Linked DNA regions of Callithrix jacchus. The protein of the gene in region 2 interacts with the protein of the main gene of each other region in a biochemical or structural test. Links are inferred from orthologs where the notes say so. Each region holds a gene or a part of one and is shown on either strand. Other genes may lie near its edges.

Evidence for each region.
Region 1: of the proteins of CASP8 (region 2) and BCAP31, one has a biochemical effect on the other in vitro, tested with the Homo sapiens proteins (2 studies listed by BioGRID, with this or other methods). The link is inferred for Callithrix jacchus from reciprocal best matches to the Homo sapiens genes CASP8 and BCAP31.
Region 3: the proteins of CASP8 (region 2) and DEDD form a complex in vitro, tested with the Homo sapiens proteins (2 studies listed by BioGRID). The link is inferred for Callithrix jacchus from reciprocal best matches to the Homo sapiens genes CASP8 and DEDD.

What each region holds. Positions count from the first base shown.
Region 1 is NC_133524.1:149,634,583-149,640,439, forward strand, and holds part of BCAP31 (B-cell receptor-associated protein 31), read right to left. Parts: intron 1,799-5,857; coding exon 1,651-1,798; intron 1-1,650. UniProt on the Homo sapiens protein: Functions as a chaperone protein. Is one of the most abundant endoplasmic reticulum (ER) proteins.
Region 2 is NC_133507.1:122,348,726-122,355,381, reverse strand, and holds the start of CASP8 (caspase-8), read right to left. Parts: upstream 4,146-6,656; 5' UTR 3,843-4,145; coding exon 3,818-3,842; exon of another isoform or gene 3,541-3,817; intron 1,628-3,540; exon of another isoform or gene 1,570-1,627; intron 1-1,569. UniProt on the Homo sapiens protein: Thiol protease that plays a key role in programmed cell death by acting as a molecular switch for apoptosis, necroptosis and pyroptosis, and is required to prevent tissue damage during embryonic development and adulthood.
Region 3 is NC_133519.1:20,979,872-20,984,959, forward strand, and holds the end of DEDD (death effector domain-containing protein), read right to left. Parts: coding exon 5,078-5,088; intron 4,884-5,077; coding exon 4,776-4,883; intron 4,159-4,775; coding exon 4,012-4,158; intron 3,314-4,011; coding exon 2,937-3,313; 3' UTR 1,763-2,936; downstream 1-1,762. Other genes in the region: NIT1 (deaminated glutathione amidase), read left to right, coding at 1-241, 348-451, 642-775, 927-1,052, 1,305-1,571. UniProt on the Homo sapiens protein: A scaffold protein that directs CASP3 to certain substrates and facilitates their ordered degradation during apoptosis. May also play a role in mediating CASP3 cleavage of KRT18. Regulates degradation of intermediate filaments during apoptosis.

The DNA.
Region 1 (5,857 bases), on a different chromosome or scaffold from region 2:
AGAGTCTTGCTCTGTCACCCAGGCTGGAGTGCAGTGGTGTAATCTCAGCTCACTGCAACCTCTGCCTCCCAGGTTCAAGTGATTCTCCTGCCTCAGCCTCCTAAGTAGCAGGGATTACAGGCACCTACCACCAGCCCGGCTAATTTTTTTGTATTTTTAGTAGACACATGGTTTCACCATGTTGGCCAGGCTGGTCTCGAACTCCTGACCTCAGGTGATCCGCCTGCCTCGTCCTCCCAAAGTGCTCGGATTATAGGTGTGAGTCACCACACCCGGCCCCCGCATACTGTTCTTAAAGCTCTAGATGCTTTTCTGGTAGATGGCCTTAGTTTCCTCTCCTTCCCTCCTCACTGTGGTTTTTTTTCCTCATTTTGCTGACTGTCATACTCAGAATTCTTGTTTTGAAACTCAGTCCTCCAGATCTGCTTCCCTTTCAACGTCAGCCCACAAGATCATACTTGTTTGGAGCTTCCTGAAAAATCTAGGGTATGTGTCTGACTCCTCCCAGCCTTCTTGTTTCCTGACTTTCCTAAGCCTGCAGATCAAATCTGTTATCAAACCCATTATCTTGAAAAAAAAAAAAAAAAAAAAGTATTTACCTTTTCTAGCTCCACCCCTCTTTCCAACTTGGACACAGAGTACAAGATCATCTGAATGACAGACTTTAAGACAAGTAGTCATCCTAGTGCCTGGTAAAGCAGGACACACCAGGTAACTAGAGGGCAAGAATCTCCTAGGCATGGAGATTCTTGAGTCTCGGGGCACAAAACCAAGTGGAGAATAACTGTGCATGAGCCTGAGAATCCACGCAATCAGTTGATGCTATGGGCTAAGTGCCCTCCAAAATTCATGTGTTAGAATTTCATCCCCACCATGGTAGCATTAAGAGGGGGGGCCTTTTAAGAACTGATGAAGTCATGAGGGCTCCCCGCTCACAGCAAGCGCCTTTCCAACACCTTCAAACACCCTTGGTCTAAGCTTCCATCCACCTCTCAGCCAGGCCCTGCAGATCACAACTGCTGTGTGAAGCAAGAGGCAGCAAACAGGGACCCAGACTCAAATAGGTACCTCGCAGTAGGCAAGTTTTGCCCAAGTAGCTTCGTCCTGACCAAGGTACTTAGTTTTACCAAAAAAAATCCACCAGAAATACTCTGGCTGCCATGGAACCTAACATGCCCTCATTACGAGTTTCATGTGAGAAAGGCCCTGAGGTGAGGGGAAGAGAGGCCTGGCCTCTTCATGCTACTTCTACCTGCTGTCCCTAGGTCAGCATCCCAGACACAAAGAGCCCCCATTCGCTTGCTCCCTCGTAAGCTTGACTCCGAATGTCCTCTCCCAGAGGAGGACAAGGCCTTACCGCTACACCTGACTCTCCATGCAAACAGAGCACAAGATAGTCATTTGTTTGCCCCAAGAGAGTATGTGGTGCGTTAGGGTCTTCTGACATTTCGGGTGGCCCTCTCCCACTCTCCATGCTGCCTCTGGAGGTGAGGACAAAACTATGTGGCTTCCCTAACACAGACAGGGCCTTGGGGTCCAGGCCACAGACTGAGGAATCAAAGTCACAGGGGAGACTGAGCCCACTGAGCTTTGTGTCCCTAGCTAGCCCAGGGCTCCACTAACAGCACCTGCCCCTCAACTCCCACTCACAAGGACAGCAGCAAGGAAAAGCCAGCAATGTAGAGATTCCTCTGGGCACGGAAAAGCTTCATGTGGAAGTGTTCCATGGCTCCAGGATTGTTCTGGAGGTTCACCTTTTCAGTCACATCATCGTACTTTCGAATCTCGCGCACGGCATCTGTGGTGGAGCAGAAGGGAGACATAGGTGTTTAGCGGACACGAGGGCAAGTCAAGGCTGTACCAGGCAGACACGGCATGAGACAGGTCAGCCTCGCTTCCCTCACATTGGCCTCCCCTTGTGAGATGATGTTATCAGAAGCTCCCCCTCAGGCCGGGCACAGTGGCACATGCCTGTAATCCCAGAACTTTAGGAGGCCGAGGTGGGCAGATCATATGAGGTCAGGAGTTGAAGACCAGCCTGCCCAAAATGGCAAAACCCTGTCTCTACTAAAAATACAAAAAAAAAAAAAAATAGCCATGAGTGGTGGTGGGCATCTGTAATCCCAGCTACTCAGGAGGCTGAGGCAAAAGAATTGCTTGAACCCAGGAGGCAGAGGCTGCAGGGAGCTGAGATCACACCATTGCACTCCAGCCTGGGGGGCAAGAGTGAAACTCCGCCTCAAAAAAAAAGAAACTCCTACCCTCAGACCCACTCCTTTCTCCAGTTTTTCAATCCCTGGCCCCATTCTACATAGGCCCCAAGCTTGCTCTGCAGTTTAAGATGCTAACCAAGCCTAAAGAATTGCTGGAAACGGGGGTGGCTTCCTTTTCCCACGGTGCCCCCAACCACATCTTGTTCTGTTCATCTCAAGTTGGCCCACCAGCCACCCCCAGTGATAAGCCAGAGTGAACCTGGTGATAGAAATGTCTGCTGAGGGGACCTAAGATGCTGAAGAGTCAAGACCCAGGCCAGATGTGGTGGCTCACGCCTATAATCCCAACAGTTTGGGAGGCCAAGACAGGAAGACTATTTGAGGCCAAGAGTTCACAGCCATCCTGGGCAACACAGGAAGACCCTGTTTCTACCAAAAAAAAAAATTAATAGCTGGGCATGGTGGTGCAAACTTGTAGTCCCAACTATTCGAGAGGCTGAGACAAGAAGATCGCTTGAGCCCAACAGGTCAAAGGTGCCATGAGTTAACATCATGCCACTGCATTCCAGCCTGGGTGATGGAGCAAGACTCTGTCTCGAAAAAACCCAAACCAAAAAAAAAAAAAAAAAAAAAAAAAAAAACAGGAGTTAAGACCTGCAGGATCCCAGCTAGGGGTCAACGGTTTCATCTCAAAGCTTTACAATGCATTTTATGATTCATAATGTTTTATTCTGATTACAAAAGAAATTCACGCTCATCAAAAGTTCAAACACACCCAAAATGTAGAAAGGGAAAGGATAACACAATCACCTCCAGCAATATATACAACAAAAATGTGGCCACCTCATCTAAAGTCACTTTTAGGCACACTACCCTATGCTCTCTGCTTTGTAATAGACACCCATCTCTGATATTATCTTAAACACATTTTTTGGCTGGGAGAGGTGGCTCACGCCTGTAATCCCAGCACTGTGGGAGGCTGAGATGGGTGAATCACCTGAGGTCAGGAGTTCAAGACCAGCCTGGCCAACATGGTGAAATCCCGTCTCTACTAAAAATACAAATCTTAGCTGGGCATGGGAGTGGGTGCCTGTAATCCTAGCTACTCAGGAGGCTGACGCAAGAGAATTGCTTGAATCCAGAAGGCAGAGGTTGCAGTGAGCCGAGACCGTGCCATTGCACTCCAGCCTGGGCAACAAGAGTGAAACTCCATCTCAAAAAACAAAACAAAACAAAACACATTTTTTGGGTCCATCTCTCCCAAACAAGACTACAAACTTCACAAGAGCAGAAATCTTTTCAACTATATTCCCAGGGCCTGACATAGTTCTGGGTGCAGAGTGGGTACTGAAATAATTGTTGAGTCAGTAAACAGCCGCTGTTAGAGAGAGTACCAGTTAAAAATACATTTATGTTTGTCTCTAATAGAGAAATTGAAGCTTACTGCTTTTCACCATGTACCCTGAGACATCTTTTTAAGTCATGACACTAAGGTGTGCCTAAAGAAGGCGCTTCATAGACTCCGTATGAGAAGGGCAAGGTATCGCTGTATGGGCATCAAGATTCTTTTTGTAGGGTAGGTTACAGGGTCTCACTCTGTCACCCAGGCTGGAATGCAGTGGCATGATCTCAGCTCACTGCAACCTCTGCCTCTCAGCCTCAAGCAATCCCTCCACCTCAGCCTCCCCAGTAGCTGGGACCACAAGTGTGTGCTACCACACTCAGCTAATTTTTTTTCTTTTTCTACTTTTGGTAGAGACAGGGTTTTGCCATGTTACCCAGGCTGGTTTTAAACTCCCGAGCTCAAGCAATGGCCTTGCCCTCCCAAAGTGCAGGGATTACAAGTATGAGCCAGGGCTTGGCCTCATGGGGTTCTTAATTTCTGGTTTTAGGTTGCTTGGTTTTTAGCTGATCTTGCATTATAAAAATCTGTCCATCCTTCCAGGCGTCTTTGCATTACATCAGTACCATGAAGCAAGTACTCTCTTTTTTTGTTTGTTTTTTGTAGACACAGGTTTTCACCACATTCGCAAGGATGGTCTCGATCTCTTGACCTTGTGATCCGCCCGCCTCGGCCTCACAAAGTGCCGGGATTACAGGCATAAGCCACTGCACCCAGCCAAAGCAAGTACTCTCAAACGCTATTAGCAGGGGTATAAGCAGCACACATGCATCAAATGTCGTGTTCATACCCTTGGGTTCAGCAATCCACCTCTGTATTTGCCCACAGAAGGATTTCCATAAATGTACGATGATGCGAGGAGGCTTATAAAGAACAGACTATGGCACAACCACATGAGAGAATACTACGTGACCTCTAAGAAGAATGAGGTTGCCATGGAAAGATGTCAGCCAGGCGTGGTGGCTCACACCTGTAATCCCAGCACCTTGGGAGGCCAAGGCAGGCAGATCACATAAGGCCAGGAGTTCAAGACCAGCCTGACAACATGGTGAAACCCCATCTCTACTAAAAATACAAAAAATTAGCTGGGCGTGGTAGTGGGCACCTGTAGTCCCCAGCTACTCAGGAGATGAAGGCAGGAGAATTGCTTGAACCTGGGAGGCAGAGGTTGCAGAGAGCTGAGATGGTGCCACTATACTCCAGCTAGCCTGGGTGACACAGTGAGACTCTGTCTTAAAAAAAAAAAAGGCTGTGTAAGGCGCAGTAAGTAGCAAAAGCGCCATCCAAAGCATTGGTTCAGCTCTGCTGTGGACAGCAGTCTTGTCTCAGAGCTGTGCTGCCTGTTTAGGTGTGGAATGCTCCTCTCGCCATGTCCCAGCAGGACCGTAGAAGGAAACATAAATACTCAGGCCGGGCGTGGTGGCTTGGTAATCCAAGCAGTTTGGAGGCCAAGGCGGGCGGATCACCTGATCAGGAGTTCAAGACCAGCCTGACCAACGTGGTGAAACCCCGTCTTTAAAATAAATAAATAAAAATAAAATAAAGAAACATAAATACTCTGTGTGTATGATCCCACTGCTGTAGACATTTTATTAAAGATGTCAGCATAGAAAACACCTGTGGAAATGTGTAACAAAATATTCATGATGGTTACCTGTGTGGGACATGGGATTAAGGGGGAGTTTACTTTTCTAAACTCAATTTTTGAATTTTTAAGAATAATTACGCATTATTTTTGTAATCAGAAAAACAAGATAAAATACATGTTTTCTTACACTGTCACCTGCATCCAAGAACCCCATCATCCTAAGGACCACCTTGGCCAATGACCAAGAGTGGGGATGGAGGACGAAGCAATACTAACCCAAGTCCCACAGTAGATCCAGGCCCTCCCTGTCTCAGGCCTCAGCCCAGGTGGGAAGATCCTACACTCTCAGGAACTCCACCCTCCCAGGCAGATCTGCTCAACCCTCTCTGCCCCCAAGTAAGGACGAAGCTCTAGCTGGTTATGCCAGTTACCCTTCACTAGTACCTGTGACTAATACTTCTATTTGAAGAAGGCTCTGCAGATCTTTCTAGATTATGCTTCTTAACATGAGAGTAGGAAGCAGCCAGTCATCATGGCCATATGTTCCTCTAGAGCTAAGCAGTTGCCTGATCCCCAAAAAAGAATGAAGGCTTTGTCAACTACTGGATTCTGCAAAGGATCTCTCCAGCCTTCTCAGCTGCTCTAGGAAAGAGA
Region 2 (6,656 bases):
GAGGGCTTCAGTGACAGAGCACAAAGATACAGATATTATTCTACTTGCAGCTGGAAGGCGGTGAAGGAATCTCACGAAGAAAAACATAAAATCATAACTTTTTTAGAGATTAAAATTCCAAAAAAATTGACAACAACAAAACCACAACACCGGGAGTTCTCAACAAATCCACTACAGGAGAGAGAGGGTCAGAGCCTCACAAAGGAAGTGCTGGAGTCTAGGCCTCAGCATCTCATTCCAGAGTCCCATTCTACCACTGTTTTATATGCCACAGTTAGACTACAAATACATTCCATCTCATCACCATCATTCTAGTTAATATTCTAGCAGCATCCTAGCTCTTGCACTGATAACTACCCCACAGGTGGGGGGAAAAGCAAAACATGCATTCGCCATCGGAAACAAAAACCTGCATCTCATCCAAAACTTGAGAGAACCTGAAAGCCACTCACTCTCAGGCCCAAACCTCTAACCGGTAGGTAGTATTGCCACGGCCTCGGGTCCAGGCTGGCTGCCCCAGACTTTGGGCTGCCCCTGAACCTCACAGACATCCATTCTGCACTCACATGGTGTCCATAGCAGGGCGCCGCAACCACAGTGTGCAAACAACCAAGCAAAGGTATCCCGACCTCAGCAAAACATACAAGCCCATCATTTTCAAACAGAATGAAACTTGCAACTTCACCTGTAAATGCTTAACCCCACAAGGACAGGTCTCTGATTTCATCCATCCAGTCTTCCCATTATATTGTTTTTTGAACTGTTTTGTATCTTTTTAATTTTCTTTCTTTTTTTTTTGAGACAGAGTTTTGCTCTTGTTGCCCAGGCTGGAAAGCAATGGCGTGATCTCGGCTCACAGCAATCTCCGCCTCCCAGGTTCAAGCAATTCTCCTGCCTCATCCTCCCAAGTAGCTGGGATTAAAAGCATGGGCCACCACGCCCAGCTAATTTTGTAATTTTAGGAGAGACGAGGTTTCTCCTTGTTGGTCAGGCTGGTCTCAAACTCCCGACCTCAGGTGATCCACCTGCCTCGGCCTCCCAAAGTGCTGGGATTACAGATGTGAGCCACCATGCCCAGCCTTTTTAAATTTCTTTAAAAAACAAATAATTGAATTAGTAGGACAATGGGTATGAGTATGCGTATGTGTGTGTGTGTGTGTGTTTATGTTGGCAAATGTGTATGTTGGTGGGTCTGTGTGTTGGTGGGAGGATAGCTGTAGCAGCAAAGTCAGTTGAGATTTAAATTTTGGCTTCTAAGACAAGTTGGGCTGGGATCAGGCTTTCGTACAAGTAGCTAAACTTGGAGCCTTTCAGAAACTCCTAAGACTCCATCGATCTAAGTTAGAGTGGCTTGAGGTCTGGAAACTGCATAACCCTCGGCAAGGCTCTCAGAGGGACTGCTGCCTCTTACACTAACTTCATGGTTTCCCCATCCACACTCAAACATGAGGATCACCTCCATGGCCCCAAGGCCACCCAATCTCACTCTCAGGAGCCTAGAAAACTCCAGAATCAAAGGCCTTCCTCCCAAAAGGCCCCTCTGACCTTACCAAAGAGGCGAATCCTTACCTTATTATCACAACGGTAGCACCTTCTTCACAGGCCTATCCACTGCCCATCTGAGCATCTAAGACAAGAGCAAACGTCTAATGAAGGACGGAAGGCACAGCCAGCTGCACTTCCTGTTTCGAAACTCCTGAGTCACAAACACTAGAGGGGAAACAACACTTACCACTTGTCTCTGAGTGAGCAGAGCCGCCCTCTAAAGCTCCTAAAGCTAAAGGGAAAAGGCCTGGTGGTCCATGAGATTGCAGGCAGGGTGGGGCAAGGCACATGGCCACCTGAGCAATGGCCACTGGCCAACATCTTTGTGTGACTTTGGATGAGTCATTTTACCTTTGGAGCCTCATTTCCATGTTCTGAAATGAGGACACTGGACTGGATTGTAACTAAGAACACTTTCTTTTCATATTTAGTATTTGAAGTTTTTTTGGGTTCATCATTAAGACTTTAAGTTTTTCATTCAATGTATCGTGACTGAGCACCCCGGAGAGGTCTTGAGATTGGGCACTGCAGAGCCCTCATCTTGGTTCTCAAGGTGGCTGCGAACTTTCAGAGCTAAAGCACCTGGTTTAGCCAAGGAGCATCTCCATGGCCCCAAGGTCACCAGATTCCACTCTCAGCAATCTAAAAAACTTTAAAATAAAAAACTCTAAAATGAAAAACCTCTAAAAAGAAAAAACTCTGAAATAAAAAAAAAAATTCTAAAATAAAAAATCTAGAAAGAAAAGAACTCTAAAATGAAATAACTCTTTGGTAAGCCCATCTTACCAAAGGTGGTCCTTGTGTATGAGTGTAGCTGAGGAAACCATGAAGTTAACTGCAAGATGGGTTTTTACCATCTTATCAAAGAGGCAAATCCTGGGGACCTCATCATGTTGGGCTCTAGTTGCCCATATGTATATAATATATGTATCAGTAAACAAAAGATTGCCTTCATACTGAGAGTTAGCTGAAATGTTTTCTGATATTAAAAGCAGGAAAAGAAAATCAAGCATCTCTCTTCTTTGAAGCTGCCTTTTGTCCTTCCCCAAATAGAATATAAGCATTCAGAGGGCAGGCACTCATAGCTGAGAAGACTGAATGAAGTATCTGAAAGGGACTCCTCACCAGAGAGGGCTAGGTCAAGGTGGCCTCATAACATCAATGCCTGATGGGCACAGTGGCATGCCTGTAATCCTAGCACTTTGGGAGGCCAAGGTGGGAGGATCATTTGAGCCTAGGCATTTGAGACCAGCCTGGGCAACATAGTGAGACACCATCTCTACGAAAAAAAATTTTTAATTAGCCAGGTGTAGTAGCACATGCCTGTGGTCCCAGCTAATCTGAAAGCTGAGATGGGAAAATTGCTTAATCCCAGGATGTCGAGGCTGAAGTGAGCCATGATTGTGCCACTGTACAATCATGATTGTGCCTGGGTGACAGAGCAAGACCCTGTCTCAAAAAAACAAAAAAGAAATAGAAATAGAATGTGCAAAATAAAATACCAATAATATTAATATGCAATAGTAATTGATAACTGGTGTAGTAAGTGACTTGTGCCTAGTGTCTCCTTCAAGCCTCACAGTCACCTCCCGAGGCATTATTAATCCCATATAATGATGAGATGACAGAGGCACAGAGGAATTACTTACCTGCCTCAGATCGCATAGTTAAAAAATAGTGTACACACACAAAAGAAAAATACATTTTGCAAAGATACAGATTAAATCACGAATTCATATCAAAACATTAGAGAACTGTCTTTGGGAAGCAAGAGAGAGGGCAGGGGTGGGAGTGGAGAGGTGAAAGGAAACCCTTAGAACCCGGGGAGGAAGGAAGCCGGCTGTGCGCCTTAGGGACCCAGGTCTGCAGGGCATCGTGATTCGACAGAATAAAGAACTTAACCCCCTGCCCCAGGGCCAAATGAAAAAGAAAAAAAAAAAGTGGATTGATAAAGTTTTCTGGAATCTCCAAAAGGGTCCACAGGAGGGAGACAGTGTGTCGGTATTCGAGGCGTCAGGGAAGCTGGGAGCTCAAGCTCTGAAGGCGGCAAAGAAACTGGAGACTCCTCCGAGTGAAAAAGCAGCAAGGTCAGAGGCAACGGCTCAGAGAGAAGCCCCACAGGGGAGCGGGGCCAGGCAGGACCCAGAGGTGTCCTCAGAAGGGCAGATGCAAGTTGCTTCCCCCTGCCCACCGACCCGTTTCTAGAGCTAGTGAAGAAACAAAAATATTGTGGTTTCCTGTGGAAGGGGTCACCTCGGCAACAGGCACTCACCCGCTCCACCCTTTCCGGGCACCATCGCAGTCTCCGAGTCCCCTAACCTGCCTAACTCCACACGCTCCGTGGGGAGCGGGGTGGGAAGGGCTCCCAGGAGGAACCTTTCTTTTACTTTCGATCACCACCCTCCACGGCCTCACTTCCTGTTGAGTGGACTAGCAAATTCAGCCCGGCTTGAAAAAAACGCAAGAGTAAGGAGGAAATCTGTAAAAACACTTCCCTCCAGCAAAAGGACAGAATCTGGTCTCCAGAGAAAAAGAAAATTCACAACAGAAGGAACTCCGGGGTAAATTGTACTCCTAAAGCAGGAGGACAGAGATGACTCACTCAAGCAAGAAATGTTTCCTTTTTAAAGGAACAGATGCCCAATTTCCAACCATTCAGAAGAGGTAGGTGGCAGACAATTCATTGACGTGCAAACTAGAAACCCGAGCGCTGGACATGCTTCACTGGAAAGCATTTATACTGACTCCATTAATAATAATAACACCTGTCCGTAGCAAGTAATATGCCATTCTTCCTTGCAAAGGGTCTGGGGAGAGGGCATTTCCCTCTCTTGATCCAAATCTCAGCACTGAAGCCACAGACCAGCCTTCTCCTCCCTCCCCGAGGACTGAGTAAAGCCAGCCCTGTAGCTGAAATGTAGGTAGATTGTTCACAAAGGAGGAAGTGTTTTCGCTCAGCCCTACTTGGCTCAGCCCTGAGTTCCCAGCCGTGGCCATGTTCTCCAGTTTAGTAGTAACCTGTGTCTTTGTAGTATCCAGCCTGGAGTGTTGGTGCTACTGAGTGAGGTCTGTTCCCCAAGCTCTGAGCCCCAGACCCTCCCCTGTTCTCTCTTTTGTTTGTTTGTTTGTTTGGTCTGTTGCCCAGGCTGGAGTGCAGTGCTGAGATCTTGGCTCACTGCAGTCTCCACCTCCTGGATTCAAGTGATTCTCCTGCCTCAGCCTCCCTAGTATCTGGGACTACAGGCACCCACCACCACGTCCAGCTAATTTTTGCATTTTTAGTAGAGACGGGGTTTCACCATGTTGGTCAGACTGATCTCCAACTCCTGACCTCAAACAATCCACCCACCTTGGCCTCCCAAAGTGCTGGGATTATAGGCATAAGCCACCATGCCCAGTCCCTCCCCAGTTCTCTCCCATCTGCTTCTGTTTCCTGAGTTTTTAATAAGGGTTTTCCGCCCTTTTGTTTTCACATGTTGTACATTTTATAACCAGAACACCAACAATAACACATTACTTATATGTTACACCATGACAAGAACTACCACTAATTCTCTCAGCAATTCAGAGTATTGTTCTCCCATGTTATAGATGAGGAAACTAATGCTCAAACAGTTACATAGAGTCAAACACAGTCCTGCTGGGCCAAAGACAGGGATTTTTCTATGACACACTAACTCCCTTTCTCCAACACTTAGGATTTGGAATCAATTATGTGGATGGAAGAGCAACAAATTTAAACTAAGAGTGACCGATGCACAAAGGTCAGAAGGTCCTTGGTTTCTCAGTCACCTAACAAAAATGAGATGGCCTAATAAAGGCACAGCTAATACTAATCAAACCATTTGTGTATGCCAGACATGGCCACCTAAATTGGTTCATTTCCACTTCTGAACAGTTCTCAGAAGTGGATGCTACTACTGGTCCCATTTTATGAATGGGGACACTGAGGCTTAGAGAGGTTGAAAGACTTGGCTATGCTCATTCAGTGAGTGAGTGATAGAATGAGCTCTGTTTGTCTCTAAGGCCCTGAGTGGTTAGTCACTGCCTAAACATGAATGCACAACCATGATCTCAATCTGACCAACCTCAGAATTAACTGCAAAATTTTTTAAAATACGAATCTTCAAGTTCCAGCTTTGGAACTCCTAACTGAGCAAAAATGTGGGAGATAAAACAGCTGGAGCACTTATAATAGTGCCTGTGCCTTCCACAGTTCTCAGTAAATAGGCTGTGGTCGCGGTGACTCGCACCAGTAGTTCCAGCACTTTGGAAGGCCAAGGCAGGAGGATCACTTGAGCCCCAGAAATAGAGACCAGCCTGGGCAACATAGGGAGACACCGTCTCTACAGAAAATGTTAAAAATTAGTCAGGTGTCGTGAGGTGCGTCTATGGTCTCCAGCTACTTAGGAGACTGAAGTGAAAGGAAAACTTGAGCGTGGGAGGTCAAGGGTGCAGGGAGCTATGCTCATGCCACTGCACTCCAGCCTGGGTGACAGAGCGAGACCCTGTATCAATAAATAAATAAATATTCACTACCCTGTTATTCAAGCTCACAACATCTCTCAGATGGCTACAGATTATTAGGCCTGTTACAGATGACGAAATTAAATGCAACATCAATCAGCTGACAAATGGCAGGGCCAGTGCATGAACTCAGGAGTGTCTCACTCAAGAGTTTCTGCTCTTAGACCCTGTAAACGTCTCACTGCATGTACCCAAACCCAGCCTTGCAAATACGGGTTAGCTGCTGGATGCATCTGAGAGGCAGTACTGAGAATGCGGGGAGCAGGGTAGCGGTGGGAGTCTCAGGGCTTCAACTTGTGCCATTTGTAAGGCACTGACCCTAGATTCTCCAGTCTTAGATCTTTTATATATATATATACATATATGAAGAGCTAATAAGTGAATTATGGCCAGGCACAGTGGCTCACCCCTGTGATCCCAGCACTTGGAGAGGCTGAGGCAGGCGGATCACTTAAGAGCAGTTCAAGAGCGGCCCGGCCAACATGGCGAAACCCCATCTCTACTAAAAATACAAAAAAATTAGCTGGGCATGGTGGCATGTGCCTGTAGTCTCAGCTACTCAAGGCTTGAGAATCGCTTGAGCC
Region 3 (5,088 bases), on a different chromosome or scaffold from region 2:
CTATCTCCTCTTCCTCCTGCAAACTGCCCCTCGTGGCTGTGTGCCAGGTAACATCAACGCCAGACAAGCAACAGAACTTTAAAACATGTGCTGAGCTGGTTCGAGAGGCTGCCAGACTGGGTGCTTGCCTGGCTTTCCTGCCTGAAGCATTTGACTTCATTGCACGGGACCCTGCAGAGACGCTACACCTGTCTGAACCACTGGGTGGGAAACTTTTGGAAGAATACACCCAGCTTGCCAGGTATCAGGGAATGGGGGAGGGAGAGGTAAAATCTTTGTTGGGCAGTGCCCCTAGATTGCCAAATATGAGGGTACAGCCTTGAGAAGTCAGTGTCCCCTCCCCCCAGGGAATGTGGACTCTGGCTGTCCTTGGGTGGTTTCCATGAGCGTGGCCAAGACTGGGAGCAGACTCAGAAAATCTACAACTGTCATGTGCTGCTGAACAGCAAAGGTGAGACTTTATAACCCTTTAGCCTGCCTCTTCCACGTAAACTTAGATTCTCCAGAATTGTTTCTCAACTCTATTTCCTTGACCCTAGGATTTAAGGGTGTTACTTCTGTTCCTAGCCTATAAACTACTCCTTGGGAAGAGTAAGCAAGGTTTCTGGAACACGGGCACTGAATATTCCTTCTTACTCTAGGGGCAGTAGTGGCCACTTACAGGAAGACACATCTGTGTGATGTAGAGATTCCAGGGCAGGGGCCTATGTGTGAAAGCAACTCTACCATGCCGGGGCCCAGTCTTGAGTCGCCTGTCAGCACACCAGCAGGCAAGGTGGGAGTTGTGAGAGGGTGAGGGAGGGGAACTGGAATACTTTGAACTGGTAGTAGAGAATAGAAAGTCCTAAGGAGGGGGGTAATGAAAGTATGACTAGATGCTCTGACGAACAGGGCAGGAGGACTAAGTAGGCTGTTTTTCGTTCCAGATTGGTCTAGCTGTCTGCTATGACATTCGGTTCCCTGAACTCTCTCTGGCATTGGCTCAAGCTGGAGCAGAGATACTTACCTATCCTTCAGCTTTTGGATCTGTTACGGGACCAGCCCACTGGGAGGTAAGATGGCGCCTTTTTAAAATGTAAGAGCCTTTTCTTAACTTCAGCCTCCTCCCTTGGCCCTACCAGTTAAACTCCTTCCCCTTTCCACCTAGTAGGAAAACTCATTTCCCAGATAATTATATTACAGAATAGTTAAAATAATAATTCCTAGGCAATTATCAAAAGTCGCAATGGGTAGATTGTAGTGTCCCTTGTCACTTCCCCACTATTTGCTACGTATACTTAACTGAACACACATCTCATCCCCAGGTGTTGCTGCGGGCCCGTGCCATTGAAACCCAGTGCTATGTAGTGGCAGCAGCACAGTGTGGATGCCACCATGAGAAACGAGCAAGTTATGGCCACAGCATGGTGGTAGACCCCTGGGGAACGGTGGTGGCCCGCTGCTCTGAAGGCCCAGGGCTCTGCCTTGCCCGAATTGACCTCAACTATCTACGACAGTTGCGCCAACACCTGCCTGTGTTCCAGCACCGGAGGCCTGACCTCTATGGTAATCTGGGTCACCCACTGTCTTAAGACTTGACTTCTGTGAGTTGAGACTCGCCCCCCCTCCCCATTGTGAGCCAGTGTTGATGTGACTTGGAGGCAGGACCCAGGCACAGCTCCCCTCAATTGGAGAACCTTGACTTTCTTGATGGAACACAGGCTTGGCTTCTTGGGAAAGAAGCTTTCACCTGAGGTCAGATTGCAGTTTCAGAAAGGTGGCATTTTATATAGTCATTGTTTATTTCATGAAAACTGAAGTTATGCTGAGGGCTGAGCAGCACTGGCATTGAAAAATATAATAATCATAAAGTCTGTGTCTGGACATCTCCTTTGGGAGCTACAAGGGGAGTTGGTATACTAGTTGGACTGGGCTCCAGTTCTAGACCTCCTGGCTCATTCAACATGCCTCCCAACCTAAATAAAAGTGCAACACTCAGTGCATGTCCCAGCCCCATTCTCCCAAGCATGGGAGCGGGCACAGGAGTGGAGGGGGAAGGAAAAAGGAATTACTTCACTTTCACCTATGATGCCCTTTGCCCAAGCCAGAAGAAAGCAAAGGGGAAAAGGGCTGCAGGGTACATTATTTATTTTCATTTGAACGTGGAAAGAAAGTGTCACACTCCCCCTTCCCCTTTACAGGGGGAGTGTATTTTAATCAGCAACCTCTTCTCCATCCACCCTGTGTATGTGCATACACATCTGCCACCATAGTGGGGAGGCGTGACTAGGCTGATCCAGTCCTCTTATCTATTCCTCCCTTGAAGAGGGTTTGAGAAATGCAAAAAAGGAAAGAGCCACATCAGGCAGAGGTTTCAGCCATGGAATGGAGGAAAGAAGGCAGAGAGGAGCAGCACCAGAGGCCAGGAGAGAGTGGAAAGGGCCACAGCTTCGTTTTAAAAAAATTCTATAATTTGGAAGAGGGTGGCAATTAATTTTCAAAATACACTTCAGAGTCCCACCTTCCACATAGCTCCCTTACTCACAGCCCTTTGGTTTTTTTTTAGACAAAATTTAAGAGCTCTCATAAAGCCAGAGTATTGATAACCCCTTAGTGCACCCAAAAGCAGTGTTCACATCAATCCCTTACAAAGACTATGTTCTGTAGACTTTGTTTCTCCCTATACATTTGTCTTACGGCTCAGTGGTAAGGTAGCTGTAGAGACACACGTTGAGGGGTAAATGGAAAAGGGAAAAAAAGGGGAAGCCCAGGCACATGGGTGCAGGGAGGGGTGGGGAACACCACTTCCACTTTCCTTTGTCTTTTTCTTTTAAAAAAAAAAAAAAAAAGGCAGGGGTGTCATTGGTTGGAAGGGTAGAGAACAAACCCCAGAACAGTGTAAGCTCCAGAGGTGGGTGATGGGAACAGTCCCCAAAGAAATGAGAAGAGGGAAAAGGTCAGGGCAATGCTTGCAGCATCAAGTTCCTCAGGAGTTTCTGTCGGCCCAGCTCATAGTCCTCCTCATCTACATTTACCAGCAGCTTGATGGCTTCATGGCCCACAGCTTGCTTGAGGGAGTCTGTGATGAAGACACCTTTAAGTGCCTCTAATAAAGAGCCATTGATGTAGTCGCGCCAGAATGCATCGAGGTAGGTGAGCTCAGAAAACTTGATGTCACAGATGATGGAGCCCAGGTCCCGGGACTTGAGGATGGTGTTGGCCTGGTTAAAGCGCTCAAACTGGCGCTCAAGTGGGTCCTGCTTGTTAGAGAAGACGTTGCCCTGCAGAGCAGTCTCATGCTGGCAGTATTCAGCCCGAACCCGCAGTCTGATGTCTGTTAGAAAGAGAAGATACAGAGCACAAGAGGTTACAGTGAGGGATGAGTTTACAACCCAAGCTTGAAAACTGAAAAGCATACCAGAATAAAGTAGGGAACATCACCTGACAGCTTCTCTACCTCTTCCCCAGGACTAGTTCTATGTATCTCTACAATCCTTGCCTGACTACAGGAGGTTGCCTTAAATTGAACATGCCCAGGTCAGCACTGCTCCCATTACTCACAAGCAGCAACTTGCTTATAGGAGATATTTCTAATTACCAGGCACAGAAGTTCATTTTAATACTCCCATCTTGACTTGGTTCATCCTACAATAAGGATGTCATAACAACATCCGGGTGATGATAGAGTATTAACAAGAGTTTAAATGTACCCTGCCACAATCATAAAGAGCAGTTCCTCCACCAGACACCAAACCATTCAGCCTCACTTTGCCATGGCATTCAAAGTGAATCTCACACTGAATAGCATAAACTGTCCAGTGTCCCAGCAGTTTTTTTTTTTTTTTTTTTAAGAGATGGGGTTTCACCATGTTGGCCAGGCTGGTCTCGAACTCCTGTCCCTCAAGCAATTCACCCGCCTCAGCCTCCCAAAGTGCTGGGATTATAGGTGTGAGCCACCGCGCCCGGCCTCCAACAGTTCTTTACAGTCTCCCTCAAGTCTGCTCCACCTCTGGAACTCTTGAACTTCCTCACCACATGTCTGTTTTTCCTTGGGATCTGGTGTCACTGACTTCCGGCGTTTTCGCTGGCTCCCAAGTGTGGCTCTCCCTCGGGCTGGCCGCTTGCTACACATCTGAGGACCCGAAGTGGGGCAGCACACCACAGGATAGTGGGGAGGCACTAACCAGAAAGTAAAAGGGAAGAAAACACAGTAGGATTAAGGCAGAAATTCAAACACGTCTCTTGGAATGAGGAAGGAATCATTTAGACTTAGCACTCAAAGCAGTGACAATAATGTGACTTGAAAAGACACAATGTGAGAGCAAATACAGGACCTAGGAGAAATGTCAACACCTCACCTGAATTTTTTTTTTTTTTTTTTTTTGAGACAGAGTCTCACTGTGTCGCCCAGGCTGGAGTGCAGTGGCGCAATCTCAGCTTAGTGCAACCTCTGCCTCCTGGGTTCAAACAATTTCCTGCCTCAGCCTCCTGAGTAGCTGGGACTGCAGGTGTGCACCATGGCACCTGGCTAATTTTTGTATTTTTAGTAGAAACAGGGTTTCACCATGTTAGCCAGGATGGTCTCAATCTCCTGACTTCATGATCCGCCTGCCTTAGCCTTCCAAAGTGCTGAGATTACAGGCATGAGCCATGGTGCCCAGCCATGATTTTTTTTTTATGGCACACAATGTGGGGGCACAGCATCCTTTCATTTAAGCTGGCAAAGCCCCGAATGTGATGAAATCAGTGTCATTTTACTTGATTATGAAAAGTAAGGGGAGTCGATGTCTTCTCACCTGTTTTAGGGGGCTGGGGAGACCTCGGTTCTGGATCACTGAGGGCTCTGGGGGTCACATAGCGAATTGATGTCTCCTCCAGATACTTGTCTACAAGATCAGGGCACACTGTAGGAGGAGAAGAAATCATTCAGGAAAATATACACCCTTCCCTTCTCTCAGTCCAAACCTCCATTGGGCCTCACAACTTACTCTCCTAAGTACTCCCCATGGTCAATGTGTTCTCCCCTTTAGATGCCTATGCTGCTCTTTCCAGGCCTCCCGCAACTCTTCCCCAATTCCAGCCCCTAATACACCCTCACCAGCCCGTCTC